Linked DNA regions of Schizosaccharomyces pombe. Changing the gene in region 4 together with the main gene of any one other region gives a genetic interaction. Each region holds a gene or a part of one and is shown on either strand. Other genes may lie near its edges.

Evidence for each region.
Region 1: mutations in SPOM_SPBC1861.05 (region 4) and rga2 together harm fitness less than expected from each alone (positive genetic interaction), as found in Schizosaccharomyces pombe (one large-scale study listed by BioGRID).
Region 2: mutations in SPOM_SPBC1861.05 (region 4) and sqs1 together harm fitness less than expected from each alone (positive genetic interaction), as found in Schizosaccharomyces pombe (one large-scale study listed by BioGRID).
Region 3: mutations in SPOM_SPBC1861.05 (region 4) and prw1 together harm fitness less than expected from each alone (positive genetic interaction), as found in Schizosaccharomyces pombe (one large-scale study listed by BioGRID).

The regions. Positions count from the first base shown.
Region 1 is NC_003424.3:3,346,437-3,355,582, reverse strand, and holds rga2 (putative Rho-type GTPase-activating protein Rga2), read left to right. Parts: upstream 1-3,324; coding exon 3,325-7,014; 3' UTR 7,015-7,480; downstream 7,481-9,146. Other genes in the region: cnt6 (centaurin ADOP ribosylation factor GTPase-activating protein), read right to left, coding at 1-2,598, 2,890-3,014, 3,053-3,068; Sm snRNP core protein Smb1, read right to left, coding at 8,022-8,462, 8,528-8,530; rpl1101 (60S ribosomal protein uL5), read left to right, coding at 8,724-9,146. UniProt on the Schizosaccharomyces pombe protein: GTPase-activating protein for Rho-type proteins.
Region 2 is NC_003423.3:1,299,591-1,307,261, reverse strand, and holds sqs1 (G-patch and R3H domain-containing protein), read left to right. Parts: upstream 1-3,126; 5' UTR 3,127-3,233; coding exon 3,234-5,321; 3' UTR 5,322-5,665; downstream 5,666-7,671. Other genes in the region: ldb1 (LIM domain binding protein), read left to right, coding at 1,266-2,441; transmembrane receptor Wsc1, read left to right, coding at 6,647-7,671.
Region 3 is NC_003424.3:5,108,509-5,115,173, reverse strand, and holds prw1 (histone chaperone, Clr6 and Rpd3L complex subunit Prw1), read left to right. Parts: upstream 1-3,291; 5' UTR 3,292-3,299; coding exon 3,300-3,384; exon of another isoform or gene 3,385-3,454; coding exon 3,455-3,560; exon of another isoform or gene 3,561-3,637; coding exon 3,638-4,742; 3' UTR 4,743-4,880; downstream 4,881-6,665. Other genes in the region: serine/threonine protein kinase Hal4, read left to right, coding at 1-670; fun14 (integral mitochondrial outer membrane (MOM) protein), read right to left, coding at 1,478-1,693, 1,805-2,032; Ca(2+)/Mn(2+)-transporting P-type ATPase P5 type Cta5, read right to left, coding at 4,881-5,059, 5,106-6,665. UniProt on the Schizosaccharomyces pombe protein: Has a role in chromatin assembly and chromosome segregation. Involved in the deacetylation of histones.
Region 4 is NC_003423.3:4,135,733-4,144,868, forward strand, and holds SPOM_SPBC1861.05 (carbohydrate kinase), read left to right. Parts: upstream 1-4,516; 5' UTR 4,517-4,818; coding exon 4,819-7,062; 3' UTR 7,063-7,110; coding exon of another isoform or gene 7,111-8,412; 3' UTR 8,413-8,636; downstream 8,637-9,136. Other genes in the region: naa35 (NatC N-acetyltransferase complex subunit Mak10), read left to right, coding at 1-158; RNA-binding protein Prp24, read right to left, coding at 249-2,795, 2,854-3,119, 3,244-3,475; protein Mug131, read right to left, coding at 7,111-8,412; elc1 (elongin C), read left to right, coding at 8,952-9,057, 9,098-9,136. UniProt on the Schizosaccharomyces pombe protein: Bifunctional enzyme that catalyzes the phosphorylation of pseudouridine to pseudouridine 5'-phosphate (PsiMP), and the reversible cleavage of pseudouridine 5'-phosphate to ribose 5-phosphate and uracil. Is involved in a pseudouridine degradation pathway.

The DNA.
Region 1 (9,146 bases), on a different chromosome or scaffold from region 4:
CGAAAGATATGATTGCATATCTGGACTTACATGCTCCGACAACTGTTCGGAGTCAGGAAGCAATAACCCATTCATGAATAAAAGTTCCAAGAGATGTAACTTACTAGTATCACGAGTAACCGCTTTTAAAAACACCACTCCATTCTCTTCAAAATTTGGTTTGGCGGCTAAACCTAGTAATATTTTGGAGATTTTATTTTGCTCCAAACCCTCCAATAAAGTAGCATCAGCATCTACTCCTGCAAAGTCAATGAATGCGTGTTCCACATACTTCTTCTGGGCAAATGCCAACTTCACCTGCGCATTATGCTCCGGCTTTGGCTTCAGCGAAGGATTAGAAAGTCCTTTTTCATAAACACGGTTGACAGCAGCATTACCAATTTTGCACAAAAGGACTTTCGATTGCTGCGATAACGAGTCGAGTAGCAAAGAACGTGTTTTCGATATATGAGTACCTAAAGACCTATGTATACCACTGCATTCAATACAAAGAACTACCGGTATATTGATCGAGCACCAAGTAACATCTTTAACCGAACCGCAATCTGCACACACACTGTTAGAGACATCGGTCTTTCGGAGCATTTGAATGAAAATGTTTGCACTGGCATGGTATCTCTCTAACTGTTCCATATGCATAGTACCCGAATTGTCTGATCGAAAAAATTGTTGAAGGTTCCACGAGCCTTTTCTACTGAAAGCCTTCTTAATACCCGAACCGCTTAATTTTCGGCTGATAGGCGTGGTCTCAAAACTCGTAGAAAATAGTGGAAATACCTTAGAGGGTCGTCTCACACTTGCACTCAACGGCGTTGCAACCCTAGAAAGTTGGAAAGACGAAATCTTTGCTGCTTCGCATATAGCTTCAATCCACGAGTCCATCTCTTCAGCAGACGTGGCTTGATAAAGTCGCTTCAATTTCGGAGTTACAACTTCGAAACAAAACCTCCTTCCCTGTTTGCGAACTTTATCAGCAGATGCATGTTTTAACGAAATGGATGAAACATTAGATTTTACGGAATCTTTCCAGTTTGCATACTCCCATAAAGAACCGTTCTCAACAACAATCCAGTGCTTGTGCCAAGCGGCTTTACTAACCATAGCTAGATCTGTACCAAGTTCGGTAGCACCAAATACTAAGAGTAGACCCTCTTTAAAAATCTTGTCAGGGCTTGCACTACCCCCATTAGAAATGCACTTTCCCTTTATCTCCGTTGTAAAATTGCTTGTCTGGCTAATATCATCTGCAGAGGCTGCCATGCGACGATTTGGCATAGGACTCTGTATTTCATGTAAAGGGAAAGAAGGGGAAATCGGAGATGGTGAAGGCGGTGCCATGGACTTTGGACGACCGCTAGTTTGAATTACCTGGGAACGATGCATCTCTCTGCCCTTGTCACGTCTGGTTGTACTCCATTTTGTTTTTTCAAGTTTTAAATTGAGTTGCTGAAGATTCGGAAGAACACTATTCATCAAATTACTAAAAAGTGCAATATGGTCATATTGGCGATGAAAGTACTGCAAAAAAATACCGTTAATATCATTAATAATGGAACCATCGTGAAGGTCTTGCATAAAACAATAGTAATCATATCGTTGTAAGGCAAACGTTTTCTCTTTTTGAAAAAATTTAGAGTCTCCTCCCTTTTTGTCCTTTTTAGCTGATAGATAACGCGACAAAGATCCATAAAAGCTTTTGCTTTGTTCATCAAATTCAAGTCGTCTATCATCAATTGGCTTAATGAAGCTTGAGTAAATGTTATGAAATGGCTCATATAAAAGATTAATTAAATCATAATTAAGTTTTTGTATAAAGGTGGCATGAATGTCCATAGCCTTGGTTAAATAACTGTCCAGAAGTATGTCCATATTCATACTGGTGCTATTAGAAGCTTCCGAAAGTGTCTCTGACAATTTCATAACAGCAACTTGCGATGCATCGTATGCATCACTTAATTGGACAATACGTTTCATTATTTTTTTGCAATAATACTTCATAAGAGATGATTTTTGCTCAAGCTCATGCAACATAGATCGGAATGACGGTCCATCCTCATAATTCTCTGGGAATATAACGGTCTTGGTATTAATCAATGAAAGCTCCGTCTTCGCTTCCGGAGATTGAGGAGGTTGGGTTTGTACCGTCTGGCTAGTAGTTAGCGGCGACGTGACACGCTGGCTTTCCGAAAAAAATGTATCATCCATAGAATCACCGCAACGAGATACGGTGTAGTAGCTAAATTTTGAGATACGTTCAAGAGTACAGTCTTCAGTAGAGTAAACGGCTATGCAAGAATAGTTTTTGCATTCATACTCCAGAAGTTTACCCGAAGGAGGTGACCACTCCCAATGATATCTGATATTGGCCGCATTTGAATCTGGTAAAAAAATTTCATGTACATTATCCGAAGAAATTAAGTCTGCATATTTCAACTTCTGAGCAAAAAAAGAATCAAACGATTGAAGCGATTCGCAATGGATGAGTACAAGTACTTTCCTCTCCTTCTGCAACTGGAGAACACGATCACTGAATAAAAAGTAGAAGTCTAGCTTGTTTTGAAAACTAAACTTAGGGAGGCACTCTTTTGATGTAGAATCCTAATTTTTACAAAGTTAGTAAAATCGTATATGGAAATAAGAACATCTTCGAGCAACACGAATGCACAATGGGCTTGCTCCAGTTGCTCCTTTTGGATAAAATCATAGACTATATCTGTTTGTCTTGTAGTTATTGTCATTCATTAGTCTGTGTTATCCAGTTCAAAAGAATGGACTTATAAATAGATGTAAGAGTGATAACTATTTTTTGACAAAAGAATCGACACTATTAAATGTGTCTATTTTAATATTTTACTCAATGTTCAGATACTCTTAGCTTTTATATCATACCAAAACCATGTCCACCAATTTTCCTGATGAGCTAGATATTGACTCTAGAAACCCATCTTCTCGGGCGCGGAATGAAATGGTAGAGCCATTGTCTAATTTGGAAACATCAACAGATTTCAATAAAGCTAAACGTTAGTAACGAAAGTAAAAATATTAAACATACAGTCACTTCCGTCCATTGCCGGGTCAAAGGGCTATTAGTATAAATTCGGTATGAGAACCGGCAGCAAAGCTTGAAGGAGTCTCAATCAAAAATTTGAGGGTTCTCAATACGAAGCTGCTTGTTCTCTTCGTCAAATGGTAAAGATGGATGTTGTGCGGACGACAGGTTTTTTCTTGCGGTCAGAGCCCACAACTTGCCGTATCACCACTTTCGCATATTCTGCCGAAATCATTTATTTTCATGCAGAAACTACGTTTCTATTTGAAAAAATAATGAAAGAAGGAAATGAATTGGAGAAGTATTCAAAAATTGAGCTGAATTCAGAGATTTGGGAAGATGAAGAAGAAGAGGATAATTCTGGGATTGTATCTCAAAATGAGAGATTAATGAAGCTAGTGAATAAGCAAAGAGAAATTATATACGAGCTGCATAAGGACTTGGAAAAAGTAAAAAAGGATAATACTTCATTACGCATGCGACTGAGTAAATATGAGTCTACAGACTCATTTCCTTCTAGTCAACCGTCCAGAGCTAATTCTCCTCAATCGGACTCTTATAGCTCTCCATATGAGAAGGGGAAATTATTTCCCAAGATTTCTTTGAAAAGTTCCAAAGACGTACCTACTGCTTCTGCTCACATTAGCTCTTCAGACCATGAAAAATCTAGTTCTGTTTCGTTATCTGCTTTAAATAATTATAATAAAACTACCGATATCAAGGCCAGGTCGTTAGACAGATTGTCGGATATGACCAGACCAAAACTTTTATTGAATACGAAACGCTCGCACCGTTCATCTGAAGAACCAGGTGCATCTTCACCAGTGACATCTCCAATATTAAAAGACAGCCAAAAGGAACGGATACAGGCCCTCCGAAATAAAGCAATCAAGACTTATTCGGTATCAACTGAGTCAGCTGAACGAATTGATTCTATCCGTTCTGACAATTTATCACCTTTGTCATTAAATACATCTTCTTTTCGTAGGCCAATTACAAAGCCAACTCCATTTAACTCGGACAGTAATATTTCTATTGATCCTAAAGATAACAATTCAAACAAACAAGACCATTTTGCTGAAATTGAGGACGAACTTCGTCAACAATTCTTGGACATAAAAGTTGGAAGAGCTAATGCATCATCGCCTAGGAGAAAAAGTATATCTATTGTAAAACCGCATGGTATATCTTCCCCAAAGCATTCTACTAATAATTTAAGCTCGAAGTCAGGTAAATTCCATTCTGATTTTCGAGTTGTTTCCGAAAATGTTCTTTTACAAGCTCGAAGTGAAACGAATTCTCCCATTATTGAAAATAAGGAAGCAAATAATTTCTTGGCTCCAACCTCAAATGTTCCAGCATATTCAACCCCTGCGCGTCCTACTGAGAGTCCTCCACCTCCGCCAATTTCTTCGTCTTCTACCACACCTAGGCCTGATGACAAACCTAGCCTACCTCCTCGTGGACTTTCAGAAGATAACGATTCTTTGTCTCTTCAAAAGACTGGCTCATCCGATACAAGAAGGTCCTCATTTTCTACCTTGAAAATACCTGATAGTGACATATGTTTTACACGTCGCCGGTCGGATTCCAACAGAACTTGGACGGTCATCGATCCTCATCATTCACAATCTTTTGATAATGACATTCTAGCAGAAATACCAACATCGAAACTTGATAATTCTAGCCAAAAATCTCCAGGAAAATTGTCTTCTAAAGGGTTACTCAACAGCTTCTCACCGATTTCGCCATTTAGCAAGTCGAAATCTCATAACCATCATCCATCAAGTCAAGTTGAAAAATCCACGTCGAATTCCAAAGGTTCTATGTTACCTTTGGATACTTTGTACAACAATAAGTTGAGCTTTAGGTTGGATGAATCATTAGTCCGTTATCTTCGTTTCGAGCTTATGAAAACCAGTTTGGCTTCTTTATCTCCAGATTTTGATTGCATAGGGTTGCAATTCGTGGTCGGTGTCTCTGCGAGTTCACATTTAGCTTCACAATGGAAAGATGAAGTATGGAGTTTCACAAGGAGCATCGGAGAATGTCGTTCCTTTGCTACTTCTTTCGTCTTAGACATCGGCGCACCTCCTTTCCCTACTCTTGATTGGTTTACAAATGACTCTTCAGTAATTCAAAACGAATTGTTACGCCGTTCTGTCGATACCTATTTTCGTTATATATTTCAAACTGATCTTAAGTTGGAACAGAGGATCAAGTTACTAGAATTTTTGTCAAGTGACACTTTACGAGAATACCTTCATGATGTATTCTTTCTTCCTCCTGAGCATGCTCAAAAGGAGGGGGTACTTTTGAAATACATTGAAAACAGTGGTTTAGTTTCACGTTATTTTTATTTAAAGGACAATATTTTATATTTCGCTGAAAATCGAAATTCTCCAGTACTTGGTACAATCCATTTAAAAGATGCGCAGGTGAATCGCTATAATGCCAATTTACCTATATTTTCTATCATTGATCCTCCTCATGAATTTTTAACTGGTGAAAATTATCAATCCGCTTTTGTAATTCAGGAAAAACAAACGGAAACGCGAACGGGAACTGCAACTGTTCACGTTCTTTTAGCAAGAGATGTTGAAGATCAGAAGAGTTGGCTGCGAGCCATACTTCGACAGGTTCCTGGCTCTACTTCTCCTCTCAATGCTAGTCCCTTCTCTGTATTATCTTCTGATTTTCCTGGATCTTCTCGTTATCGTGATCAATCTTCTCCTATCCGTTTTTATGGAAAAGCAGACTCAAGACCTGTAAGTCAAGAAGCAATTTTAAGTCAGGATATATCCAGCTCTCCATCTCCCGTTTTACCACCGTCAGAAAATGTTGCTTCTTATGCCGATGATTCTTTGGTTTCAAATTTAACCATGAGTCCTAAATTAAGGGATTCAATGGAGCAGGTGCCTTTAGAAAATCATAGAGAGTTTGAGATTAGTGATCGTGTTTCTGAGTTGTCATTCGACAGTAGTACGGGAAGTGTTTTAGAGATTGCTGACACTAGACGAAACCAAGATGCTCCTGAAAAGCACGTCCCCGTGATAGAAATCCAGTCTTCTAGACCTTCGCTGGAGAAGACTGACCAATCTACTCCTGTAGAGTTATTGATCGATTCTCATTCTCAGAATTCGCAAAATGAAGAAAAGAGATCGAGAATGAAATTTTGGGCGTTTCCGCATCATAAGGCCGAAAATTACGAACAAATATCTGATACGAATATACCTGTGATCGAAACAAATGTAATGCTTTCACCAAGTTCGACAACAAGTGCTGAGCCATTACAGAAACATATTGTCCGTAAGTCTGGAATATTCGGTCTTCCTCTTAATGAAGCGGTGAATATTTCTACTCAATTCAATGACAGCGGTTTGCCAATTGTTGTCTACAGATGCATTGAATACTTGGAATCATGCCGAGCCGAGAAAGAGGAAGGTATTTATCGGTTAAGTGGTTCTGCCTCGACAATTAAACATCTTAAGGAACAATTTAATGAAGGAGTAGATTACGACTTGCTTTCGTCAGACGAGGAATTCGACGTGCATGTAATTGCTGGACTTTTAAAGTTGTATTTGAGAAATTTACCTACCAACCTCTTAGACACTTCTATGCATAAATTATTCGAACTGTTACCTAATGTTCCTAACGATTCTGCGGCCCTTGGAGAACTTTGCGATGTTATTAGCAAACTCCCTCCTGAAAATTTTGCCCTTTTGGATTCCCTGTTACATCATTTGCGTAGGATTATTGCTTTTGAAAAAGTTAACAAAATGAACATTAGGAACGTTTGTATAGTGTTTTCTCCTACTTTAAATATCCCTTCGGATATATTTATGATGCTTATCCTTAACTATGATCATATCTTCACAGATATTTCACGACAAACGAACGGAGCACAAAACGAAAGCGACTCTGATGTTAGTGATGACAATGGGGAGGATAACGAATTTTTCTAGGAATTTAACGTCTACAAATTGTCAACGCTTGAGACGGTTAGTTTACTTAAACTTTCAATGGTTGTACGTGTTTTACTATCCCTTTGTCTTTCGTCTTCCTGTTCATTCCTTTATTGAATTATTTCTTGTTTTAATGCTTAGAGACACAGGGATTCTCCAAATATTCGTATGTACGGCAGTCGTCTTAGTACGATGTCGTTAATTTACTCTTTCTTTTAAAAGTTTTAATACTCTATAACTATTTTAGCCCTTCGTTTGTTCATTCTTTTCTAGTTCTTCTTATAACTAATTTTGGGCAGGTTTTTTATGATTGTATATTCAATTTATGTTGGAAGCTCGGGTTTTTTCTTTATAATCTTCTTTTATTTTTATTCTTCTTTGATTAGTATAATGAATTGTCGTTCTATTCTTGCTATTGAGCGGTGATAAATGAGCAATATTATATGTTATTTTAAGTAAAATTGCTAACATTAAATATCATAAACTAATCTAGTAAGGGTCATATAGACATAGCTAAGTAAAACGTATATATTCACTCTTAGCTGAATATCATTTTTTTAAAGGAATGCTTTCGTACAGTTTTGTTTGATATTCGAACTACCAAACAAAAAAGATAACACTGTTTTGTAGATGATACCAAACTGACGACAGCAGACCATTTATGGATAATTTATGCCTGTATCACCTAATCCATAACAGCATTGGTAAACAGAGTTCACGATAGTCGCATAAGCATTCTCGCTGAGACTCTCATAAAACCTCGGATTAGAAAATGAAAGTTGGAAAAACTAATTTATACAAATACACAAAAGCAAAGCGCCTACTATGATGTTATCGAATGAGAATAGTACCGATGAGGTTCAAGTCAACCGATTCGTAAAAGCAGACTATAAAGCTTTTTAAATAACCAAAAACGCACTAAAACAAAAATCAGATGTTGATCGTGCTATTAATGAACGAATAGTGGATGCTCTGTGGTGAAAGAAAACGAATCAAACGGAACCATCCTAAACAGGACGAAAACCCGGGGGAGGGGCACCACGTCCAAAACCAGCAGGTGGTGGAGGAGCAGTATATCCAACTCCTCGCACAGGTCCTGCCAAACCAACGGGCGCTTGACCAAGAGGAATACCACGACCAGCAGGTCTGGCGACACCCGGCCCACTCAATAAACTACCACGCATAGAAGGATCCATGGGAGGTGGTCCTTGAACGGAAAGAGAAACAATAAACTCACCACGAAGAATGACGAGTCCAAGCATGCGCTTTTCTTCGTATACGGAGTTGCTAGGGACGTTTTGCTTTTTTATATGGCGATATTCCTGGCAATCACTCAAAACAAGATTCATAAATCCATCAAAAGCAAGTAACTGGCCTACAAATGTTCTTCCATCCTTCGTCGTTACGTTCAAAGAATGGTTTAGTAAAGAAACCATTTTTGTCGTGCCCTAAACTTGCAGTTAGCAACAATCGAAAATTTTAGAATCGTATATAAGTTCCAAATGCCACATACCATTTTGATATTGTGTTTTTCTTAAGAAAAAGCACGAGTCTTAAAGTCACCTACCAAAGAAGCTGTACACTAGGTGTTCAGTCTTCAATAACTAAAAAGCCTAACCCTACCCTATACATGAAACAGTCACAAGCACTGAACGAAAGTTTTGTTATTGTGCTAAATACTTTGGCATCCACCAAAGAAAAGGCACAAGATGGCAGAAAAGGCACAGAATCCTATGAAGGAGCTCCGTATCTCCAAATTGGTTCTCAACATTTCTTTGGGTGAATCGGGTGATCGTCTTACTCGTGCCGCCAAGGTTTTGGAACAGCTCTCTGGTCAAACTCCTGTTTTTTCCAAGGCTCGTTATACCATCCGTCGTTTTGGTATTCGTCGTAATGAAAAGATTGCTTGCCATGTCACCGTTCGTGGTCCCAAAGCTGAGGAGATTTTGGAGCGTGGTCTCAAGGTCAAGGAGTATGAGTTGAAAAAGCGCAACTTTTCTGCTACCGGTAACTTTGGCTTCGGTATTCAAGAACACATCGACTTGGGTATCAAGTACGATCCTTCCATCGGTATCTACGGTATGGACTTCTATGTAGTTATGGACCGTCCTGGTATGCGTGTTGCTCGCCGC
Region 2 (7,671 bases), 2.8 Mb from region 4:
TATTAAAAATTTCACAACTCTTCGACACAAAATTTTTTTATACCTAAAAAATCAATGATAAATGACCGTAAAAGAATTACCTGCTTTTCCTTTTCTTTGAAACTAACTCTCGTTTCATATAGTCAATTTTGTTACCTCGTTACACTCACGTGCTATAGTGAGAAATATTTAAAGTAAGTAAATAAAACAGCTAGAGAAACATTAATGGAGTAGTAATTTTCGAAAAACGATATAGAAATTAGACCAAAGAATGAATTAGTAATCAATTTTAGTTCTAAAAAAAACCATATTAATTGTAATCAGTATTATCAAGAAATACTAACTGTGCTGTTGTTCTGTATAACGAAAAAATTTTGATGAATGATTTCTCTTGCAATATCGCATTCATTGCTTTTTTTCAAAATAAAGTAATTCGAGATACATCAACTATATCAAATCTTTCCTGAAATCAAGCCTTTTTTACTTAATTTATAAACATTACACTATGCGACACCATTTAAAAAATTTTTTTTGGTTGATTTCGAGGTATACAAACACAAAACTTAATACCGATGCAAAATTTTTATTTCAACAATATTTAGTAAGGGCAATGATTTTGATGATCTTCAAATTCAAGAACTAATCATCAAATAAGTAATAATGTATAGAGACACTGAAAATAAATTACCGATTTTGTGATCTGTAAACTACGATTGCTTGTATACATTCGGAAAGGAACCTTACAACATATTAAAATAATCAAACCAAGACATTCCTAAATCTTTTTAAATATTATTTTCTATTTATTAATCTGCTGACTCTTACTTTGCAAGTTATCTTGACATACTCTCACATACATTTTTCATTCTTTTTAATATATCGAATTGAAAGGTGGTGTTTAAAACAAAATAAGAGAACATTGATAAAGGGCATACGGAAAACTGGCGTTGATCTCATTAATATTGATACTCGAAATCAGTGTAAAAAATGGGAACAAGGTAAATTACGAAGGAATTTTTTATTCTATATTTTAATTTGTAAAATGTTAATTTATATCACAAATTCAGGCGTTTGAAAGATGCTATCTTCACCCAAATACAAGCCGTTTGTAATAACACAGCGCATCACATTTTCTAAATGTCTTTAACGTAGCGTGCCAATCTCTAATTCACTTAAAGGGTTAACCATGCATGGCGGGCTCCGGCCGTTAATGTTTCACAAGCGCTTTGCACTTTGAACAAATCCAATTCTGCAGCGCTGGTGGCTTTCTTGTAAATTTCGCAGCTATGGTTGCAAACTATGCGTCCATGATGTATCATAATGGCTCGAATATACTAGGATACGGTGTTTTGCGATTATTACAATATAATGAACAGTTAATGTCAGGATGGGAAAGTACCATGAAAGATGATATTGGGTATTGGAGACGATTTGTGCATGATTTTTATACTGAAAAGGGAACATTTCGCTATAACATCGACTACAAAGATTCGCCAAACCAGGAGCCGAAATTGTTTGAATTATCGTATGCAGCACTTCCGCGCTTCTTATATCTGAGTTATTGCGGCAAACTTAAAAAGATGTCGTTCCTTTTGGGAAATACAAAGGAATTTGCCATTCCAAACAATGGGTATTTTGTGGAATCGTCAAGGGCAAGCATTTTATATCAGTATCAAGGCGGTGTACAGGTAATTGTATCGGGGCACTTGCGGGCTCATTTCTTTCGTGCTCCTTTGTTAAAATTAGACTCTTTAGAGTTTTCAGCTGTCGGACATTCCGAGTATCTTTTGCGCGAGTTAATGACAAACGCTTCCCTAGCCCTTTCGCAGTCGCGGCCTCCTCAAAATCAAATACAACACGATGGGGTAAAAAGTGAGGATCCGTCATCCGAAAGTGTAAATATTAACTCATCTTCTTCTCTTTTGCCGGATTCACCCGTCAACGAATATGGATTGGAACCGCACATCATGCGGTTCATGGAAATTACTGAAACAATTTCGGGAATGCGCGATCTCATAGCCTTCACTCTTGCTCAGCGATCGGGTCCGACTAGCGCTTTACATAAATTTGCTACAGCTTTACAACAACAGCATCAAATGCAAAAGTCTACTTCCTCTAATATTCCATATGCAAATCCAGCCCCCTCGGGGTTTAATGGCTCGCCTAGGAATGGTGATGTTGCTAGTCTTGCCTCTAATTATCGTTATGCCAAGCAACCTCCCACTATGCCTGCTAATGCAATTAGTCAAGCTAATCGTCTTTTGGACCAAAATAATATCCCCAATATGGATCCATCAATTCTTCCTCAATCCATGCCGATTGCCTCTGTTCCGCCCTATAGTCTTCAGGGGATTAAACGCCAAGGTACCCATTCCCCAATGGTTGAAGGTGAAAATCCCAACAATAATCCTAACTTCTATTCTTCTGATATGCTGAACGCTCAAAAACGTACCAAGGTATAGCTGTTTTTTTGTATTTAATATTCGGTTCGCTCGCTACTTATACATATATCTGCACTCACTGTTATTTTTCGTTGTCTAAGTTTGAAATTCTTAAGAAAAATTTCTATTACTTTCTTTTTTTTGAGCGTATTACATTATTTATTCCTTTTTCTGAATACACTTTTGTGTATGTGTTCAACTTCAAATTCCTTACCGTTCTCATCATATGCAGAATTTGTCATCTCGTTCCCTATTCGACGCTTCTCTTTTATACTTTTAAAATAAAAAGGAATTTTTTTCATTATAAAGTAATTCTATGTATTTTTACATTGCTCCCTGTTTCAAGAACAAATCGTTTCCCCTGTCGTTGCTCTCGAGGGACGTAAAAGAAACTGCATTAGTATAGCGTTCTATATTCTAACATTCTATTTCTTGCACTATTTACATTATAGTTATTTGGCTGTTTTATATGTTTTATACAAAAATTTATAACTTATAATTACATGATGAGCTACTGTCGGTTAATTCATATTCAACTTTGAGTCGGTCAATGTATGAATCTCCTCAACTTCAGTTTAAATAGACGTGTATACTTGAAATTAATAGTTAAATTGTAAATTGAATATTTAGAAATTTGTATTTAATACCGTGGCAAAATCGTTTAGTGTACTATATGAAGCACTTTCCCCCAAGACTCCATCCTACTACCACCATTTGGTTTACGCACCTCACAATTTAGGATTTCACCATCATTATTTATTAAAACAATTATATATTATTTTTTTTATCATATTTTTTGACTTGTATCCCTCAATGTCAAATTTTGATGATCTACAGATTTTAGATCAGTTACAAACTTCTGCCAGGTTTCGTGGTGATACACGAATCCGAAGATTTAAGGGATCCAATAATTCTAAAAGCCCTTTTGGTTTAAACCCTAGTAGTCGAATTTCACAATGGCCCCGAATTACCTTTATACGTGCTAAGGACAATTACAACCCGGCGGAAGAATTGTGTCAATTAATCGATGAACAAAATGCCCACAATGAAGCTAAGCACCAAAGCAAAGAGATTATGCTTCCCAAGGAAACCAACGTTAAGTCCTGCGAAGATTTATCAAAAACCGGTGAAATAAAGGCGTTGGACATTGTGTTATTTAAAGCAATTACTTCGAAAGGTGATACATTGAAAGTAAAGAAAATTCCGGAATATGCGGAAGCGTTTGATACCACCAAGAATGTAGAAGTTTCAAGTTTTCCTGAGAAAAGCATGAACGAAAATGTTTTGATTCAGCATTCTTTAAATCTTGCACCAAGTGATAAGGAAATTTCATCTACAGAAGAAAGTGAGCAGTTGTGTTACAAAGAACAAGAATCTGAGAAGGAGTTATATTCTAAAGATAATGATGACTCTTTAGACATACTAAATGTTCCAAACTTGGTCAATGATGATATTGCTAACAATAACGCTGCACCTCCACCGCCTTTGGCTCAGGCACAGGAGCAGTTGAGTACCGAAAATGAAGACGAGTTTGATATTGATGACACCACCGATAAAATGACTACGTTTACTATGAACAAGTTTGCCGACCTCTCCGTTTTAGAAGAAGATGATGATGATGAGGACGAAGATGAAGAGCTAGAAGGAGAGAAAGAAGAGGAGGAAGAGGAGAAAGAAAAACCTGAAATATCAAATTACGATGAGACAGAGGGTAAAGTAAATTTTTCACTTGAAGATTCGGAATCTTTAGAATTTGATGAGGGATCAGATGACTATGATTATGCTAAGTTAACGACGGAACTTGTGGGAAATACAGATTCATTAGCCGAAGATGAAGATGATATTTTGGAAGAAGATGAAGATGAAGATGAAGAAGAGCTTTTGGCAATTTTTGATGCTAGTGATGATTCCGAGATTGAGGCATACCTTAGTATTGGAGATACTTTGCAAAATGATTTTACTATTTATGATTATGACAGTGAGGATGAAGAGTACAATAACCCCTCAACTCAAAAAACGGAAAAAGTTTCTCAAAGCAAAAAAGGGGCGAAGGTAAAAGAAGAAAAAGGTTTGAAAAAAGATCGCAAACTTCCTAAAAAAATGCGTAAAGCTCAAAAGAAATTAGAGAGAAAGGCAGGAAAGGCTGTGGCCGCTAGAATGGGAGATGCCTTTTCCAATTCTTTGGACGATGAGAGCATGAACTTGTACGCTGAATTGCAAGAACAATGGCTTAAAGATAAAAGCAAAAAGGCAAGAAGACGAGCGGAAAGGGAGAAACTCCGCTCTGAGGGGCTACTTGGAAAGAAAAGCAAAAAGAAACTTTTGCGCGAAAGCCAGAAGCCGTCTTCTTCCGATTCTGACAATGCTAGTCTTACACGAATTGATAAGATATTTATAAATGATGTTTATCAACGGATGCAACAGTTTAAGCACTCGGCCATTGAAGAAATTTCCCTTCCTCCATGCAGAAAATATGTTCGTCGATTGGTTCATGCGCTTGCCAACGATTTGAACTTGAAGTCGAGAAGTTATGGATCTGGAAACAAGCGGTATACTATGCTTTCCAAAACTCATAAATTTGATGCATCTAGTGTGGATTTGGTTTCACTTACCAGGATTATGGAGCGTTTACAGACCAGGGTTGAGTATCAGTCATTTTCCAAATCTGGTAGGAAATCTCGAATGACTGTTTCCTCTGTGAGGTCGAGTAAAGCCACACGTGTATATGATGGCCAAATTGTTGGAGAAGATGCCCCTGAAATTAGCAAAGAAAATCCAGGTCGTCGGTTGCTCGAAAAGTTAGGATGGTATGCAGGTAAAGGACTTGGTCATCCCGAAAATGAAGGTTCCAAAGATAGTTTACGTGCTATTGTTAAAGTTAGCAGAAGTGGTTTAGGTTAGAAAACCAGGGTGACTGGTCAAACCGAGAAACTAATCAGCTGTGTCTTATTTACTTGAGATAATACTCCAATTTATATATATATATATATAAATATATACTATTCTAGGTTAAGCATCATATTCAAATTAGCGATTTGTACATATTGATGTGAAGTAAAAAATTAACCGTGGGTACTTCGACATGGTGTCTTTCCATTCAAGAGATAAACCGGAAATCCAGAAAGATAACTATCTTTTATTTTAAGATATAAACTTCATTTAAATAGACAGAATAATTATTCTCACTACAGGAGCAATTGAATATGTAAGTTGCTGCTATGGGCATACTGCAGCTAAAGAAGTTCTACAAAACGGTGATATCGCAGTGTACAGAGTTATTATTGCTATTTAAAGAAGATAATCGTAAAATCAGTTAGCGTTTAATATATAACACGTGTAATACAGTATAAGGAGTTATGTAAAGTAACGTTTAGGTCATTTTAACAGGCAATATCGGTCAATAGTGATACCCAACATCGCACTATTCGCAGTTTCAACCAAGTATCAATCGGAGCCTTTTTCATTCGTTAAATAGTATAAGGCAAAAATACCGTTTCGGTAAGGGTCAATAGTGTTCGCCTAGGTTCGACTGACTTCAGCCTTTATGGGGCCCGTCGGAGCTAACTTTTCCACTTAACAACTAATCGAATTCTTAAGTGTTTTTTGACGACAATCTGTCAAACACTGTATCCTTATTAAGGAACTAGTGTATTGTTTAAAGTAAAGGAGTTTTCAAGCCTGGGAAGCTCGAAGAAACGATTCAAACGGAAGCTCTGTGGATAGCCAAGTTCGGTACGGGTTTGTACTTTCGTCCCCGAGTATTTTGTTGAACTTCAGGAATTCGCGTTCTTTTTTAATTCTGAATTAATCTTTACTCTTTACTTTTTATTCGTTCTTTTTTTAAATTCTGTTTTTAATTTCGGAACAAACGAAGTTGGATATTGAGTACTTTTCACCAACTGCTCGGTCTTAATAATTCTTGATTTTGCGTTGCTGAGCCTTTATCCTTTATTGTTTTCTTTTTCATGTTGATAAAGAAGTGATTTTGCAACAATTATTTTCTTCATTGGCATTTGAATTTTTACGCTCTTTATTTTATTTACCCAATCTTTCTTTTCTTTCATTCGGTTTGCGCCTTTTGATAATATTTCTCTTAACTGGTCCAATAATTTGTTTTCTCTTTAGTCTATAGACAAAACAACTTAATTTACTGAGGGCAAAATTTTTATTACCAAATTTAAGTTTTAATTTTCATTCCTATTATACTTACGCACGATTTAATTTCCATGGTCTTTTTAAATTCCTCTCCCTTTAAGGGGAGGTTACTATTTTTTGTTTACCTTTTGATAATTTCTACTCGGTTGGTGGCGGCTGACATGAACACTCAATATGGCTGTTATCTCGTGGATAGTAGCTTAACTGAACAAGGCACGTTTACCTATCTTGATCCAGCGTATTGCTATAACAACATTTGTGGTGGATCTGATAATATAGCATTTGTAGCTATCCGTAATAATCAATGTTATTGCGGTAGTACACTTACTGCTACAGAAGTTTCAAGTTCTCTTTGCACAACGCCTTGTCCAGGTTATGGTTCTCTTATGTGTGGTGGTGATCTGTACTGGTCGGTTTATCTGACTGGCAATGGGGTTTTGCAAACCACGGTTTCTAGCTCGTCAGTGTCGTCTACGACCTCTTCGTCTTCATCATCATCTCCAAGCTCATCTTCAACTACAACAACAACATCTCCTTCTTCTTCTTCTTCTTCTTCGTCTTCGTCGTCTTCCTCTTCTTCTTCGTCTTCTTCTTCTTCTTCTTCCTCATCTTCCTCTTCCTCTTCCTCTTCCTCTTCGTCTTCGTCTTCTTCGTCTTCTTCCAGCTCTTCGTCTTCTAGTTCTTCCTCTTCCGTACCAATAACGTCTTCCACCAGTTCTTCTCATTCTTCTTCATCTTCAAGCTCATCTTCCTCTTCATCTTCTAGTCGGCCATCTTCGTCTTCGTCGTTTATCACGACCATGTCCTCATCTACTTTTATTTCTACTGTCACAGTAACACCAAGCAGTTCCTCTTCTTCAACCAGTAGTGAAGTTCCAAGCAGTACGGCTGCCCTCGCTCTAAATGCAAGCAAGGCGTCAAACCATACGTCCTTGAATGCAGGTGCTATTGTGGGTATTGTTATCGGTTGTGTGGCATTCGCCGTGGTAATGGCATTGTGCATTTTCCTATACTTCTATTTCAGGAGATTCAAAATTAGAATGAGCGACTCGGCAAATGAAGGAAAATATCCCTCCTATGCTAGTGAATTAGATTC
Region 3 (6,665 bases), on a different chromosome or scaffold from region 4:
TCCAAACGTGATTCATACATTAGACCTGATCCAGGACGGCAAGGGTGACTATTGTGAAGTGATGGAGCTTTGTTCGGGAGGCGATTTGTATACGCTTATCATGGCCGCCGGTCGTCTAGAGCCTATGGAAGCTGATTGTTTTTTCAAACAATTGATGCGTGGTGTTGATTATTTGCATGATATGGGTGTGGCTCATCGTGATTTAAAGCCGGAAAATTTGTTATTGACCGTTAGCGGAAGTCTAAAAATCACTGATTTCGGTAATGGTGAATGCTTTAGAATGGCCTGGGAGAAGGAGGCTCACATGACATGCGGCCTCTGTGGATCCGCACCCTACATTGCTCCAGAAGAATATACAGAAAGTGAATTTGATCCACGCGCAGTAGATGTCTGGGCTTGTGGTGTTATCTATATGGCCATGCGTACCGGTCGACATCTTTGGCGCGTTGCCAAAAAGAGTGAAGACGAGTATTACTCCAGATATCTGATGGATAGGAAAAACGAGAGCGGTTATGAACCTATCGAAATGCTTGAACGTTCAAGATGCAGAAACACTTTGTACAACATTCTTCATCCCAACCCAACTTACCGCCTGACAGCAAAACAGATAATGAAGAGTGAATGGGTTCGTTCCATCACTCTTTGTGAAGCTGGCAATGCTGGTCTGTAAGTAGAGAGTAGGATTTAAAAGTTACAAATCATGACATTCGAAGCTTTCTAAGCTGTTCGAAAATGAGGATTTACTATTGTTACTGTCTTGATTAAACTATGTTTACATGCATAATTTAATTGTATTGAAAGACTTTTGTTTTTTTATTGCATTCACTCTAGAAGGGCGAAGGGATGGGTTTGATCGTGAAACGCGTCACAAATTATTCATAGTTTGACACAATGCCAAGCGCTATTCAACAATCGCTTGTGTTTGTCTATTTTAACTTTATTACACCTCATGTGGTTTCAACACCGGCACTCCAATTGCCAAGAGGAAAGGGAGAGAGTTGGTGTTTAAACTACATATTTTGGGTATATGTATATATTTTTAAAGAATTCTTACATTAAAGCTTTATATTACGTTCGTTATCATTTTTATATGTACACTAGTGAGCGTGGTGTCTGTGATTTGTTGCATGCACTAGTAAGTCACTTTTTAACTAAACCTAGAAAGTTATGAGCACGGAGCTGACATATCTGAGTTACTTCCACTGTCTAAGACATTAGTGTGTGCAGCTACTTAATAATTAAATTCGGTACCAAAACAAAGAAAATCGTGTTGATTGGTTAATGAATGAAAACTCAATTATAGTTAGATAGATGCATATGAAAAGTAAGCTTCTGAACAGGAGCGTGAGCAAAATGTTTCACTATTGGTAGTATAGAACGAACGTTGGGGTTCAAAGGAATCATAGGAATTGAGAGGAGTGCGAGGGCTGAACAATGTATCAAAATCGAAATGTGTTGTGGTGAAATTCAGCCACTTTTATGATGACACAAATCCAACATACATAGCTGAAAAGAAGCTCAGCTTGAAATTGGGGTTTGTACAGATCCAATTACGAATGGTAGGAAATGTTGATTGAGTATTAAACCTACCTGAACTTGGGAAATGAAATCCAGTATACTGCTCCGTAGGACCTATAACTTGTTGCTGCAGCTGGGGCCAATTAATTCGGATCAGACCTTTACTGTTAATATACTAATAAACGTATTGTGTTAGTATTATGAAAGATAAATACGATTTTCAGTGCGAAACACAAGGTTTTTAAAACCTCTAAATATAAATAAAGAATCAAACTTAAGCACTTACAGCAATGGTAGCGAAAACGGCGGAGCAGGCAACGATGAATAAACGGCCCAATTTTCCTAAAGCAAATCCGGCTGCTAAACCAAGAGAGCTTCCAATAAAGATTTGACGGTAATTCAGCTTAAATTGAGAGGTGATAGTAGTTGCAGCACTTGCCGAATCTTCACACAAGACTGGGCGAAATGGGTGAAACCTGTGCAAGAATCCTCTTCCTAGAAGTAAACAATTCATTATGTGAGAGTAAAAAATAAAGAAAAATAATAGAAAAGGTACAAATTTGGTGGAAACGGTTTAGTCTAAAGGTGGGAATTATTACGAAACGTCATGTCTCGAAGATGTAAATAAAAGATGGATAAAGTATCTTCGTTGCTTTTTCTTAATCAGCTTACTGAGAAAGTGTGTGTCTTAAGGTAGATTTATTATAAGAGAAAGATGTAAACAAATGTATTGTGTACGAAGTATTTAAGTGAAAGGTAATTTTGTGCTTCTTCATCATCGTTTCTAAAATTAATAATGTTCCTTTTTAAGATCAACGATCTTTTAGTTTGGTATGACTTGCTTCGAAGTTCTTTTTTCTTGATGTAAAGAACGGCATACATATTGAAACGGGATTGTCTTCATTTTAACAATTAAATTAAATATATTTCTCATTTCTTTTACTAAGGGTACGCAAGAATACGAGGGCATCTTGAATTCGGCTTCTTGCTCGTTTGGTTTTCAGTATGACTTGATGCATTTTCCAAGGATTGCAGAACAGGTGGGAGATCATTATTTTAAATCATATACTTTTTATTCACGCTCAATTGAATATTCAAAAAAAGGAGAACTTCAGAAATTTTGGCTGCGTTTTGCTATTGGCGATACACAAGTTGAATGTACCTTAAAACTAAGAGGAACATAATTTTTTTACCAATTTTAATAATCCTGCTTCTCAAGCGGTTGTTGCCTTGTGTGACTAAAAAAAAGCTTCAAAGTGTTTCTGTTCTTGACGCACTGATTCATGCAGAAGTTAGAGTAGATGAAATTAGCATGAAAGCAAAGTAAAAAAAAACTCATCTAAATTAAAGATTCTTAACTCTCAGCTCTATAAATTTATCTTTCCATCTTGTGTCTTATAGCAGTCCATCGGGAAGCTTGTGCTACCCAAATTATATCTCACTTCTGTATACATATGTTCAGCAAACATAATCATTTTTAGTAATTCAACTTTTTACAATTAACAGTCTCTTTAAAAGTTGCAATTTCTAGCACTGTGGAAACGCATCTCAGGTCGAGAGAGAAGATGAAAAGACGCTAGCCGAAGCATGAGACAAGATTAAGTTTCTATTGTTTTTTCCCATTTAAACATCTATACGGCTGTGATTATATAAAACCTAAACAATCTTAATTTATAAACCAACCTGCACCTATTTAAGAACACTTAGTGTGCACATTAGCGCTGCACGCGTCTACTCACCATCCACCAAAAAGCAGATTCAATCATTTTAACTAGAACATAATGGCTGTATCAGCTGTTCCCCATCCTTCCAAGCAAGCGCAGGCTTCGGAGGAGGGAATAAATCAAGAAAAATGCATCAATGAAGGTATGTCTGCAACGTTTTAACATACAATTTCTAGTTGATCAATGTAAAATGTGTTTCTAATCTGAAACAGAGTATAAAATTTGGAAAAAGAACTCACCGTTCCTTTACGATTTAATAATTACTAGAGCTTTGGAATGGCCTTGTATGTCACTACAATGGTATCCAGAGCAGCAAATGTAAGTCAATCATTTGAATCATAATGTTTAATCTTGTTTATGTGACTCAAAAAACTTACCATTATTTTTTGTTATAGTTTTGCAGAACATGGATATACTGAGCAGAAAATGTTTCTGGGAGTTCGTGCTGATGTTGGCAAATACTTACTAGCTGTTGCGTCTATTCAATTACCCTATTTAAATCAGACTGTTCCTCCTACTACAATGGAGGGAGCATCTGCGGGTGACGAGTCTTCTCTACGTGTTAATATCTCAAATCTTTATTCTCATCCTGAGTCTGTTTGTAGTGCGAAGCTTATGCCACAAGACGATTCTTGTGTAGCTACGGTGGGTAACTATCATAATGATGTGTTGGTTTTTGACAAGGAATCCTTCGAATCTTATAGCTCGGCTAGTGAGTCTCCTCTTAAGCCCAAATATAGATTGACCAAACATACCCAGCCCTGTACTAGTGTTTGTTGGAATTTTCTTTCTAAGGGTACTTTGGTTTCTGGATCGCAAGACGCTACTCTTTCTTGTTGGGATTTGAATGCTTACAACGAGTCAGATTCAGCGTCAGTTTTGAAAGTGCATATAAGCAGCCATGAAAAACAGGTCAGTGATGTACGCTTTCATTATAAGCACCAGGATCTTCTTGCTTCAGTTTCCTATGATCAGTACCTTCATGTTCATGATATTCGTCGCCCTGATGCTTCCACAAAGCCAGCTCGAAGTGTGCATGCCCATAGCGGTCCTATTCATTCTGTTGCTTTCAACCCTCATAACGACTTTATTTTGGCTACTTGTTCGACTGACAAAACCATTGCACTTTGGGATTTACGGAACCTTAATCAACGCTTACATACATTAGAAGGACATGAAGACATTGTAACAAAAATTAGCTTTTCTCCTCATGAAGAGCCTATTCTTGCTTCTACCTCAGCCGATAGAAGGACCTTAGTTTGGGATCTTTCAAGAATCGGGGAAGATCAGCCTGCTGAGGAAGCTCAAGACGGTCCTCCGGAGCTTCTTTTTATGCACGGAGGCCATACTTCTTGTACAATTGACATGGATTGGTGTCCTAATTATAATTGGACAATGGCAACCGCTGCTGAAGATAATATTCTTCAAATTTGGACACCTTCTCGCTCAATTTGGGGTAATGAACAATTAGAGGAAGATGCTACGGCATATTTAAGTTAACCGGTCGTATACAACATTCATTGATATTTTACTTAATGTCCCAAACCTGTTTCTCTCTTTAACTCCTTTTTTTTTCTACCCTAATTGCACATAAAAGCAAGTTTTTGATTAACATATATATATTTAATTTTGTTTTTTTTACATGTTCAGAATACTCGTAAGGCAGCACGAGATAACTCCCATAAAAAGTATTATGAAACGATACAGTGTCGGTAGACGTGTGATTTGCAAACACCTAGAGATAATGTGATTTTCATTTGCAAAACATAGATAGATATTGCAAAGGCCAATGGTAGTACACAAACATACATAAGTTTCTATATCATAAGATGTTAATAAACAAAAGACAGGATTTTCACTTACTTTTTTTCCAAATAGGTGACAAAAACTCGGAACTTTGGTTTATTCCAATACAAATTCCTAAATATTGTAAAGAACTTAAAAGAAATATGCTAGTCACTAGCACGTTTTTCGTATTTGATTTTTCAAGTTGCCATTCAGGTAATTCAACCCAGTTCAACTCGTGTAGTATTAAAGTCAGCAAGCCATGGGATAGCCATATTAATACTGATTGAATTCCTAAATCCTTTACTCTTCCTTTGCCAAACAATGTTGAATTAGGGCGATTGCTTGTCAAATTTTGAGCAGGGTCGAAGTAACTCATAGCTGCTGACAGTGGAAATATGATTAACAGATCCATAAACAAAAATTGGTTATCGTTAAAGTTATAATTTTTTAAATAGAGAAAGAAGACACCAGAAAACTGGACTATAGCACACAACACCATATATTGAAAACAACGATGGCTAAGTATTAAGGAGCATCTGCCCTCCAATAAGACATTAAAAACATCCTTAATTGATTTTTTTTTGCTAACAAAGGAAGCTGCAGCACATGCCTCGGAATCAGAGAGAGAAACTCCAACATCGGCTTGCTTCAAAGCAATACAGTCATTTGCCCCGTCACCGCAAAAGCCAACTTTGCAGCCATATTTTTGACAAAGCTCCACATATGTAGCCTTGTCAAAAGGGGACATTCTAGCGAGAACCCTTAGTTTACTTAATAAGATTTTAATTTCATTAAAAGAAAGCATGGTCAATAATCTTTGAAGTAGTTTTCCATCCATACAAAGGCTTGAATCCTTCTCGAGGATTACATCTTTTAAAGAGAAGCCGTCGGGAATGGGCTGAAAGTTCTGAGTTTGTAAATCTATTTTTTCAAAATGGATTTGTGGACAATCATCCCCAGAATCTGCTAGTTCAGCTGTGTATATAAAATTGCATGAGTCTAATGCACCGCAATGCTTAGCAACGAAAACACTAGTGAACAATGAATCGCCAGAACAAATCGAAACTTCCATTTTGCTTCTTAAAAGAGAGGAAATAACATCTTTAGATGATTCTCTTAAAGGGCTCTCTAATACAAACAATCCTTGAAAGGTAACATTGGATTCTAGAGTAGAACGAGAAAGATGTATCAATTCTTGAAGTGGAGTAATAAGGTTCTTGGATGCAAATGCAATGATTCGAAACCCTTTAGATGAAAGCGTATGAATAACTTCCTGTACATTGCTTGGAATGGACTGTTGAGAAGAAATAGCTAATATCGATTCTGGAGCTCCTTTTGTGAATAACATTAAAGACCTCTCAGTACTAGTAGAGCAAATTACTGACATCCGACGTAAAACCGGATCAAATTCCAATGCCTTATAGATAGAAAAAATTTGACTGGGTCCATCGAAAGAATTGGATACGGAAAATAACGGAGGATGTGGAGTATTTGAAGCTCTGATAGTGGCACAAAAAGTTCCATTGAACTGAGTAAAGAGTGTGACTTCCAAAGGATCACCAACAAGTTCATTACCAACAAGTTCCAATGATTGAGAACATGTAGCTACTCTGTAGGCATGTGCGTTTAACTTTG
Region 4 (9,136 bases):
TCAACCCGTATTTCTTGCAAACCAACTATTTAAAAAATTTATTATGTTGCTGCATTACAAATCTGGTTTCACTTGCAATCTTATCCAAAGATCATAGTGCTAATCTAAAAATAGTGGAAATACCTGGAAATCCGCTCCCAAGTCTTTCACGTACATGAGGTGTTGTTCGTCTTTTATGTTAATAAATCAAAATTATCAAAAGTTAGGTTTTCAATATTTTTTTAATCATTCAATCTAATTATTGCTGACTATTTTAAAAACATTTTCCTAAAATCATCGTTGCTTTTAGGTGCATCTATCTGCATTTCTTTATCGTCTAAATCGTCCTTCTTAGAATTTATATTGGAATGATTGGAATTGAAACCTTGAAACGTTCGGCTTCCGAGTCGCCGTGGGCGTGTAGCAGAGGTATTGTAATCGGAATGATTCATACTAGATGGGACATTGTGCATCATTTCATTGACAGTGGTAATGTGTAGTAACCTGCCACCAATTTCATGTCCTTCTAATGCCAAGGATGCCTTTCCCGCATCATGAATATCCAAAAACTCTACTACAGCACCTTCATGTTCAGGATGAAGAACAACTCTATACAACTTTCCGTAGCTTTCGAATAAACTTCTAAGTCTAGCCTCGTTAACAGTCCCGTCGACATTAGTGACTCCTAGGCTTTTGCTTTTGATTTGTTCGAATGATTTTTTTGGCGTTGACATTTTATTTGACTCAGTAGTCTCAAAGCTTTTAGCTAAGGTTCGGTTGTCATTGGATGATACCCTTGTTTTCTCTAGAGATTCTCGAGGCTTCGACAAAACAACGTTCAAAACTCTATTTCCCAATTGCTTTCCAGCAGCAGAAAGTGCATTTTCAGCATCTTGATTTGTAGTCATTACCACATATCCAAAACCTTTATGTTGATTAAATCTTTTCGGTATTCGAACACTCTCAACCTGCCCATAATCCCTAAAAAATGTTTCTACGTCTTTTTCATTTACTTTAAAATCAATATTTGTAACGTAGAGTTCTCTACCCTCATAGACAGCACCGCTTCTAGGAGTTCGCCGAAGCGGGTCTGATATAAAGACTTGAATAGGATACTTCTCTTCCAATAGCTTCTTATGTAACTGCAGGGCATTGTGTGCCTCATCGGGCTTTCTCATTTGTACATAACAAAAACGCCTGTTCGTGTTATACCTTAGACTAGGAAAACGGACGTCAACCACATTACCATATGCAGAAAATAATTTGGTTATATCTAATTCATCATAAGTCGGAGGAAAATTGGTAACGTAGAGGTTCGTGTCTACATGAATTTGAACAGAAATTTCATGACCCCTTATCGATTTAAGGTCTCTTGTTTTAGCAGCAAGAACTTCACTGGTTTCAGAAAATTCAATCTGAGCCACTTTAACATCCTTTTGATTGTCTTCGAGGATAAAAATGCGTATAATATTACCACAATCTTTGAAAAAAATTTTCAACTCATTTTCGCTTATATCGGAAGGTAGATTGGTAACCAAAACTGTAAGTTCTTCCCTATTCCTGTGTTGCTCAATAGGTTTCGACTTTTTGAACACATCACCTTCTTGCCCAGGTTTTCTTTTCTTTGAAAGGGCGGCTGTATCATCAGCTTGAGGCACTTTTAGTGGTTCGGTGTTTTCGACAGTCTGCTTCGTTTCTTCAGCAAAAGAATCCAATTGACGTTTGAAGCTAATCCTCTGTGCATTTAAAACGTCATATAAATGTGATGTGTTTGTGAAACAGTCATTATTAAGGTCCATAATGGATTGATAAAATTGGAACAGAAGTTGAGGCTGATCAACGTTTTTGTAAAGGCTTTTTTTTAACGTCTCAGCCGCAAGCTCTGGGTTATACTTCATCGTACTTATGTATCGAGAAATCCAATATAATGCCTGATTTTGAAAATCATGAAACATATCAGACCAGCACTTTTCTACGCTTTCAAAATCAGAGATTTCTGAATATAAATAAATTTTTGAAAGTTCAATGCGCATTCTTGCATCCTTTGATCCCTTATGATTTTTTCGCAAATAGTCTTCGACTTTATGAATTTGATGTTTCAAAAATTCCTGTGGCTTATCTTCATTAGAAGACAAATATAGGCATGCTTTTAAAAATCCGCTAAAAAAATCAATAACCTCGTCAAAATTTACGAGCAAATTTGAATTCAAACATCGATCTTTCTCTTCACAGACAGCCGATGTGGATGCTCCAGAAAGCGTCATATAAGTCAGTTTAATGGACCAAATACGCCCAATCCATGAACAGTTACGAGTAGCTCGTTCTGCTACACTGGACGCTTGAGAAGAAGAAAAATCCACTTTACTAAGCCAGGCAGTGTATTGCAACCAGAGTTCCGGAATGAGGGGATACAAAACTATGGCACGCTCATAGAGAGTTGTTATATATTGTAACTCAGCTGTTGAGCGTCGCGATTCATCATTAATTAAATCCATATACGCTTCGAGAGAATGATTTGCGCTGTTTAACAATAGTTCTTTATTAAAAATTTTTGCATTTCTTTTAAGTGTAGTCTCATACACTTTATTGCTTTTCACCATAACATCCTCATATTCGGAAGGAGACCAGTTATTTGTGACAAACGTTGATAAAGAAGTAAACGTTTCTTCAATCTGCTCATGTGGAAGTTTTAATCTATCAATATGAAAATCATATATCTTGTTTTTAAAAACAATTTCTTGCTCTTCTTCTCCCTCAAATAGAGCATCACCGAACGTCTGTAAAAATTCCAAATATAACGTCCAAACACATTGACTCTGTAAACATTGATTAGTAAATACATTTTTATCATGAAGAAAATTTTTAGTTCCTTACTTTAGAAAAATGAAATTTGCAAGTTTGGTATGCACGTTCAAAAAGAGAATGGGCATCTGTCAAAGTAATAACGCCGTTTAATTCAGACTGTTCTTGTTCAAAAGAAGAAGTGTCCATTAAGTTTAGCGTAAATTCAAGATACATACACCAAATTTTGATTGACAGATAATCTTGAACTGCCAAATCAAACAATGTTTTTATCCTCACATAGTCGTCTAAAGTCCTACAGTTTTTGCACTCATCTAAAAGGTAATCTACCCACAAATCTAAAAACCATTAATAAATGCTTGTCAAAAGATTAACAAAGTTAAAGTAATTAGTGAATAATTTTTGCGAGTCTATGGAATTCGCCTCAACACGCTTTACCTAGACGATTGTTGATTGACATACCTTCTGAAAGTGGAAAGATCGATTGAAAAGTCTTTCTAGCCTCTGACAACTCCTTCTTTTTATCTAGACGCTTTAACTCTTCAATGAGTTTAATATGACTATCATAATTATAGGGATGTAAAATCGTAAATTTGGTCAATTCATCCAGAAGCAAAGGCTTTTTTTCGTTTTGTTCTTGTGGATCAATATCCATTTCGACATTCTCATCTTTTAAATCTTGTATTTGACTCATTTCGTCAAAACCGACGAAGACTAGGCTTTTGCTGGGTTCCTTAGGTAAATGTCATGCGTATAATGTCAAGTAAATTTCAAGATAAACACTAAAGTCTTAAAAAACAAGGGGAAGTTAAATGGAAAAAAGTAAAAAAGCAATTCGTTAAAATACTAGAAAATATTAAACAATCTAGGTTGATCCTAATATACAAGGCACATTGTTAAAAGGGAGAAAGAGATTAAAAGATTGAATAATAAAACTTGTAAAAATATGCTTCAGAACAAGATAGCACTACTTAGTTTGCTGTTAATATCTTTTAGTCATAGACCTAAGTTCAACCATTTTATGAAGTGATACATTTTTTCCTGAAGGAGGGAATTAACAACAATAGTTTGTAAACAGATATACATTTGTTTTATTATAGTAAACTTGTCTGTCAATTGGATTATGTGAATATGGTAAAACTCAAAAGTCTGGCAAATCTTGATCCTTATTTTATCTTTTCTGTAAAAATGATAGTAATATAATTTTTTGGGTAAAGTAATTTTACACTTCAGTCAGCTTAAAAACCTCTTAGTACTTAGAATAAAAATATAGTAAATAATGTAAAATTCTTTTATAAAAATAATGAAACAATTCGACAAATTAAGCCATGCAAACATCATAAAAAATTCAGTTCCTTTCAGAAGAATGAATATTTATACTTTAATCAGAACATGGTTTCACAATTAAACACAATAGATAAAAAAGGGTCATGGCATTGGTTTCCTGGATAAAAGAAGTTCTTTTTTAAATAGAGTTGCATTTTATTGCAACTCCATTCAAAATTCAAGTCTATTGCTTTAATATGAATTGTTTTCGACACCAAAATAAATAAAAGAATTCAAAAAAAAACTCAATTCCAAGTTTTGTATCAGTAAATTCGGAGCGCCGGCAAAGTATTCAGTTTGCCTGCTCTCCTTTTATTTACATTTTACTATAAAGTTATCTTGACATATATCGGCGAAGTAACATTTTTTGTGATCGGCTTTTCCATGGGGAAAGCGTACATTTATTATCAGACACCACCATGTTTAGATATGATTTGCCGAGGTAGATTATATATAAAAAACGTCGTCTGATCGTTCTGGCATTTTCATTTTTTGTTCCTTAAACTTTTATTCCTAATAGTATACGTCCTTTTTAAATCTCAATTTTGGGTTAACTTTATTCCACTCATTCTTTTTACGTTTATTAGATACGCGGAGTGAGCGCGTATAGTACGATTTATTCACGATTTTAATATTATCTGATATACGCTTTCTTCGTTTGTCCTATATTATTTACCTATTTATCACTATTTTTCTTAGCATCTTGCTTATATGCTCATCGTTATGAATAGAGGTTGTCGGTTAGTTTCACGTATTCCATTGGGGTTCAGAAGGCTGAAGAGAAATCCAAACCCTGGATTGAGGAATATACTTTGCAGAAGATATAGTCCGCTGGCCTTATCCAAGGAAGTGACAGAAGCCCTTAAAAACAACGTACCAGTCGTTGCCTTAGAATCAACTATCATCACTCATGGAATGCCTTATCCTCAAAATGAAGAATTGGCAATTCAAGTGGAAAGCAAGGTACGCAGCATGGGTGCGGTTCCTGCGACAATTGCTCTATTAAATGGACAATGTACTATAGGGCTTGAACAATTTCAGTTAAGCGAACTTGCTAAATCAGGTGAAACAGCATATAAAGTGTCTCGTAGAGATTTATCTTATGTTGCTTCCCAGAGACTCAATGGTGGAACCACAGTTGCTGCAACTATGATCTTGGCTAGAGCAGCTGGCATTGACGTATTCGCAACGGGCGGTATAGGTGGTGTTCATCGTGGGGCAGAAAATTCCATGGATATTTCTGCGGATTTAATAGAATTAGGTCGCACAAGGGTTGCCGTCGTCAGTGCTGGTGTCAAGAGTATACTCGATATTGGACGCACACTTGAAGTATTAGAAACTCAGGGTGTTCCTGTTGTCACTTTAGGCCCTCCAAAATCGGCTTTCCCTGCATTTTTTTCAAGAGAATCCAAGTTCCAGAGCCCTCTTTCTCTAGAAACTCCGCAGTTAATTGCTAACATGCTCTTTAGTAATATACAGCTTGGCCAGGAATGTGGTACTCTTGTGGCCATTCCCACCCCTCACCATTGTTCTATTGATTACGAAAAAATGGAGGCTTTGATTGAAACTTGTTTGCAAAGGAGTGTACAACTTGGCATAACTGGTAAAAATGTAACTCCATGGCTTTTAGGAGAACTTCTAAGAGAATCAAAAGGGAAAAGTTTAAATACTAATATTGATTTGGTCTTAAACAATGCCGAAAAGGCTTCCCTTATTGCAAAAGAACTAGCTGTTTTAAAAGAAAAAAGCTCTTTTTTCCCTACCAACACCGGAAATACATTTGAAACGAAGCCGGTTAAACAAGACTTTTTCTATGGTAAAGTGAGTGACAAAGGGGTTTCGTCGAGCAAAAAAAAAATTACAGAAACAACGTCCAAACCTGCAGAAGTTGTATGTGTTGGTAGTGTGTCTATTGACTCAGTTTTGAAATTGGATAATCCTTTAACATCTAAATTCCTTGGCACATCTCATCCTTGTCACTCTGAACAGGCTTTTGGCGGTGTTGCTCATAACATGGCTTTGGCTTCTTCTTTAATGGGCGCTTCTACGAAGTTGGTTTCATGTGTTGGAACAAAATCCGTACCCACTTCCTCTATTAAAGAGTATCTTACCAAGTCTTCTTTGCAGCATACCATTGTTGAGAAAAGTAACTTTACCTCTTGCTCATACACAGCTATCAACGATTGTAATGGCAATTTATTATTAGCTGGAGCTGACATGGCCATCATGGAAAACCTTAGTTATTCAGAAATCAAGGATGATCTTAATGACGCTAAGTACATTTGTTTTGATGGTAATATTTCACCGTCATTGATGCTAGATATAACCACATCTAAATCGAGTAAGCAACGAGTCGTTTTTGAACCAACCAGTGGTCCCAAAACATTAAAGATACTAAAAGTCTTATCTGTTGCCTCAATTGATTTTATAACACCGAACAAGTTTGAACTCGATGTATTATTTCAAGCTATGAAAGACGGAAATTTCTTCGAGAATGAGTCATGGTGGCAGAAGTTAAACAGCTTTGGTATCACCTCCTCTTTCTATAATGAGATTGAGCGTTTTACGAAAAGTACAGGAATAGAAGAAATTACAGAAAACGGAATCTTACAAAAGTGTTTTCATTTACTTCCCTTCATAAAGAATATTATTGTTAAGTTAGGACCTAATGGTGCTCTTTTAATAAGCTCTGAGAAACTTCAAGGAGTGAATTCAAACTCAGCCAGCCTTTTTACCCCCGGAAATGTGACTGTAAAGTATTACCCTGTTCCAAAAGTTATAGCAACCCCTGTAAATGCTAGCGGAACTGGTGATACTTTTATCGGTACTTTCACTGCTTTGCTTTCGAAAGGCTGGGGTATGGACGATGCTATTGATACTGCTCAAAAAGCTGCGGGCCTCACTTTGCAGTGTAATTTTTCAGTAAATCCTGAAATAAAGACTCTTTTAAAATAGTTGCTCTCATTAACGATCGTTAATAATGCCGCGAGAATTCTTTATTTTCTAGGCGTGTGGCATCATATTTTCGATTTCAAATGGATTACTTCCCTTAGCACCACGCTTCCGACTAAGAGTATTGGAAATTTCCCTTCCCTGTGAGCTCAACGGTGTCTCTATCCTTTCATGTTTTCTTTTCATGAATTTATCACAGAGTGAAGCTTCGTTAATAAACGTTTCATACATGTAATTAGTGATGTCTTCTATATTACCAACATTTATATTTTCATCATTTTTGTTGAAGTAAAGGATTGATGGTGGAATGCACTCTTCATACAGCTTGGCGTTAAAATTTAGATATGCATGGATCGGGAAAATCGCGCCTTTCTTTCTTAACGCATGGGTCAATGCTAGCCATCCAAACTCAGTGGAATTTTGACAAATAGAACTTAGATCTTGAATTATAGGATTTCTGCTTTTCCGTATGGCATTGCCGCTAACCGAATGTACATGAATGTTGCAATGGAAATGTTGAGTAGAAACACAAACCCAATCTGATGATCCAGAAATACAATATATGTCTTCCGGATGTACCAACAAGAACCTTGGATGCCCAAACATTTGTTGTGCGGCCCTGATGTGCAACTCAGTATAACCATAATTTCCAACTAAATTTTTCATGTAGTTTGTTACTGCCACCCACACAGCATCTTTAAGATTATTTGAATACAAGTCATAAAGCATCACATGATGAAGTAGCACCGTTAACGGTATATTGGGGTTCTCTAAAAACGAAACAAAGTCTTCAAATCCTTCGGGAAAGTTTTTCTCTGCTAGATTCATACTTGCTTTGGCTTCTCTATTATTCAGTTCAATTGATATCGGAACTGCTGATTCGGACATGAACGAATTTGCATACTGAGCATGCAAGTAAGGAGTCCTGCTTGTTCCATACAAAATACCTAGGAAGCCGTATGTGAATGGATTATGAATTTCTCTTGAATCTAAAAATTCTGCAGCAGATAGCTTACGTTCAGTTGTGAACGATTTGGCGGCTATTAAATTTGAGAGTTTTAGAAGTTTATCGGCATGTGGTGTAGTAAGAGAGCTACTCAAATCAAGCGCTTCCATTGAAGTAGTCAAGCTTTGGTTTGAGGTTAAAGAATTGCAATAGAAATTTGAGGAATCGGCGTTTAATTTTTCAAGTCCTTGTGGCTGAATCTCATTTTGGCATATGAGTTCGATATCGCTTTCCAGATAGTCGGCTCCAGTGAAACAAACGGTAAATAGACTTTTCAAATGTTGAAAAGCTCGTTTTATAAAGGTGTTGCTCGATGAACCTTGTACCTTTCTTTGCTGATTATCCATTGCGACTCTAGCCAATATATGTATATATATATATATAATATCAATATAAAATTTTGTATAGCGTCTATTCAATTAATGCTTAAAATTTATATTCTTGAATGGCGTATTTAGAGAGTATGTTATAAATGGATGATTTCAGCATACCAATTGCTATGATTTGAGGACCAAATTAGTGTAAACAAACTAGTTTTGTCAACAAACAAAATTACTATTTTGCCAGAAACCAATTTCGATATTTTTTTAACTTAAATATCGTTTTAAATGATTTCTTTAACGGTTGAAATTTACATTTTCCCTTTTAATTTTAGAGAATTTTAGTCAGTAATATATTGTCCTCTATTTTGATTCAAAAGAAAATTAAATTCAATTTTCTATATTAAATTAAATAATTATGGGTCCGGAAAGTAAGCTAAATAATTAATGTTTACTTTCCTTGCTACCATTACTTTTTCTACAGAACACCTAAGACGGTCGGGTATTATATTTTTTTTGAAATTGACGTGATAAAACGAAATCTTAGTATTACACAGTAGATAAATATGGAAAAAGAATACGTGAGACTTATATCTGGCGACGGCTTTGTGTTTATATTAGAAAAAGAAATTGCTTGTCTTTCAGGAACGATACGTGCTATTCTCAACGAAGGTTTGATAATGATATTTAGTAAAGTAATTCTAATGTATAGGAATATTTTCTGAGGCGCAAAAAAATGAATGCACATTTC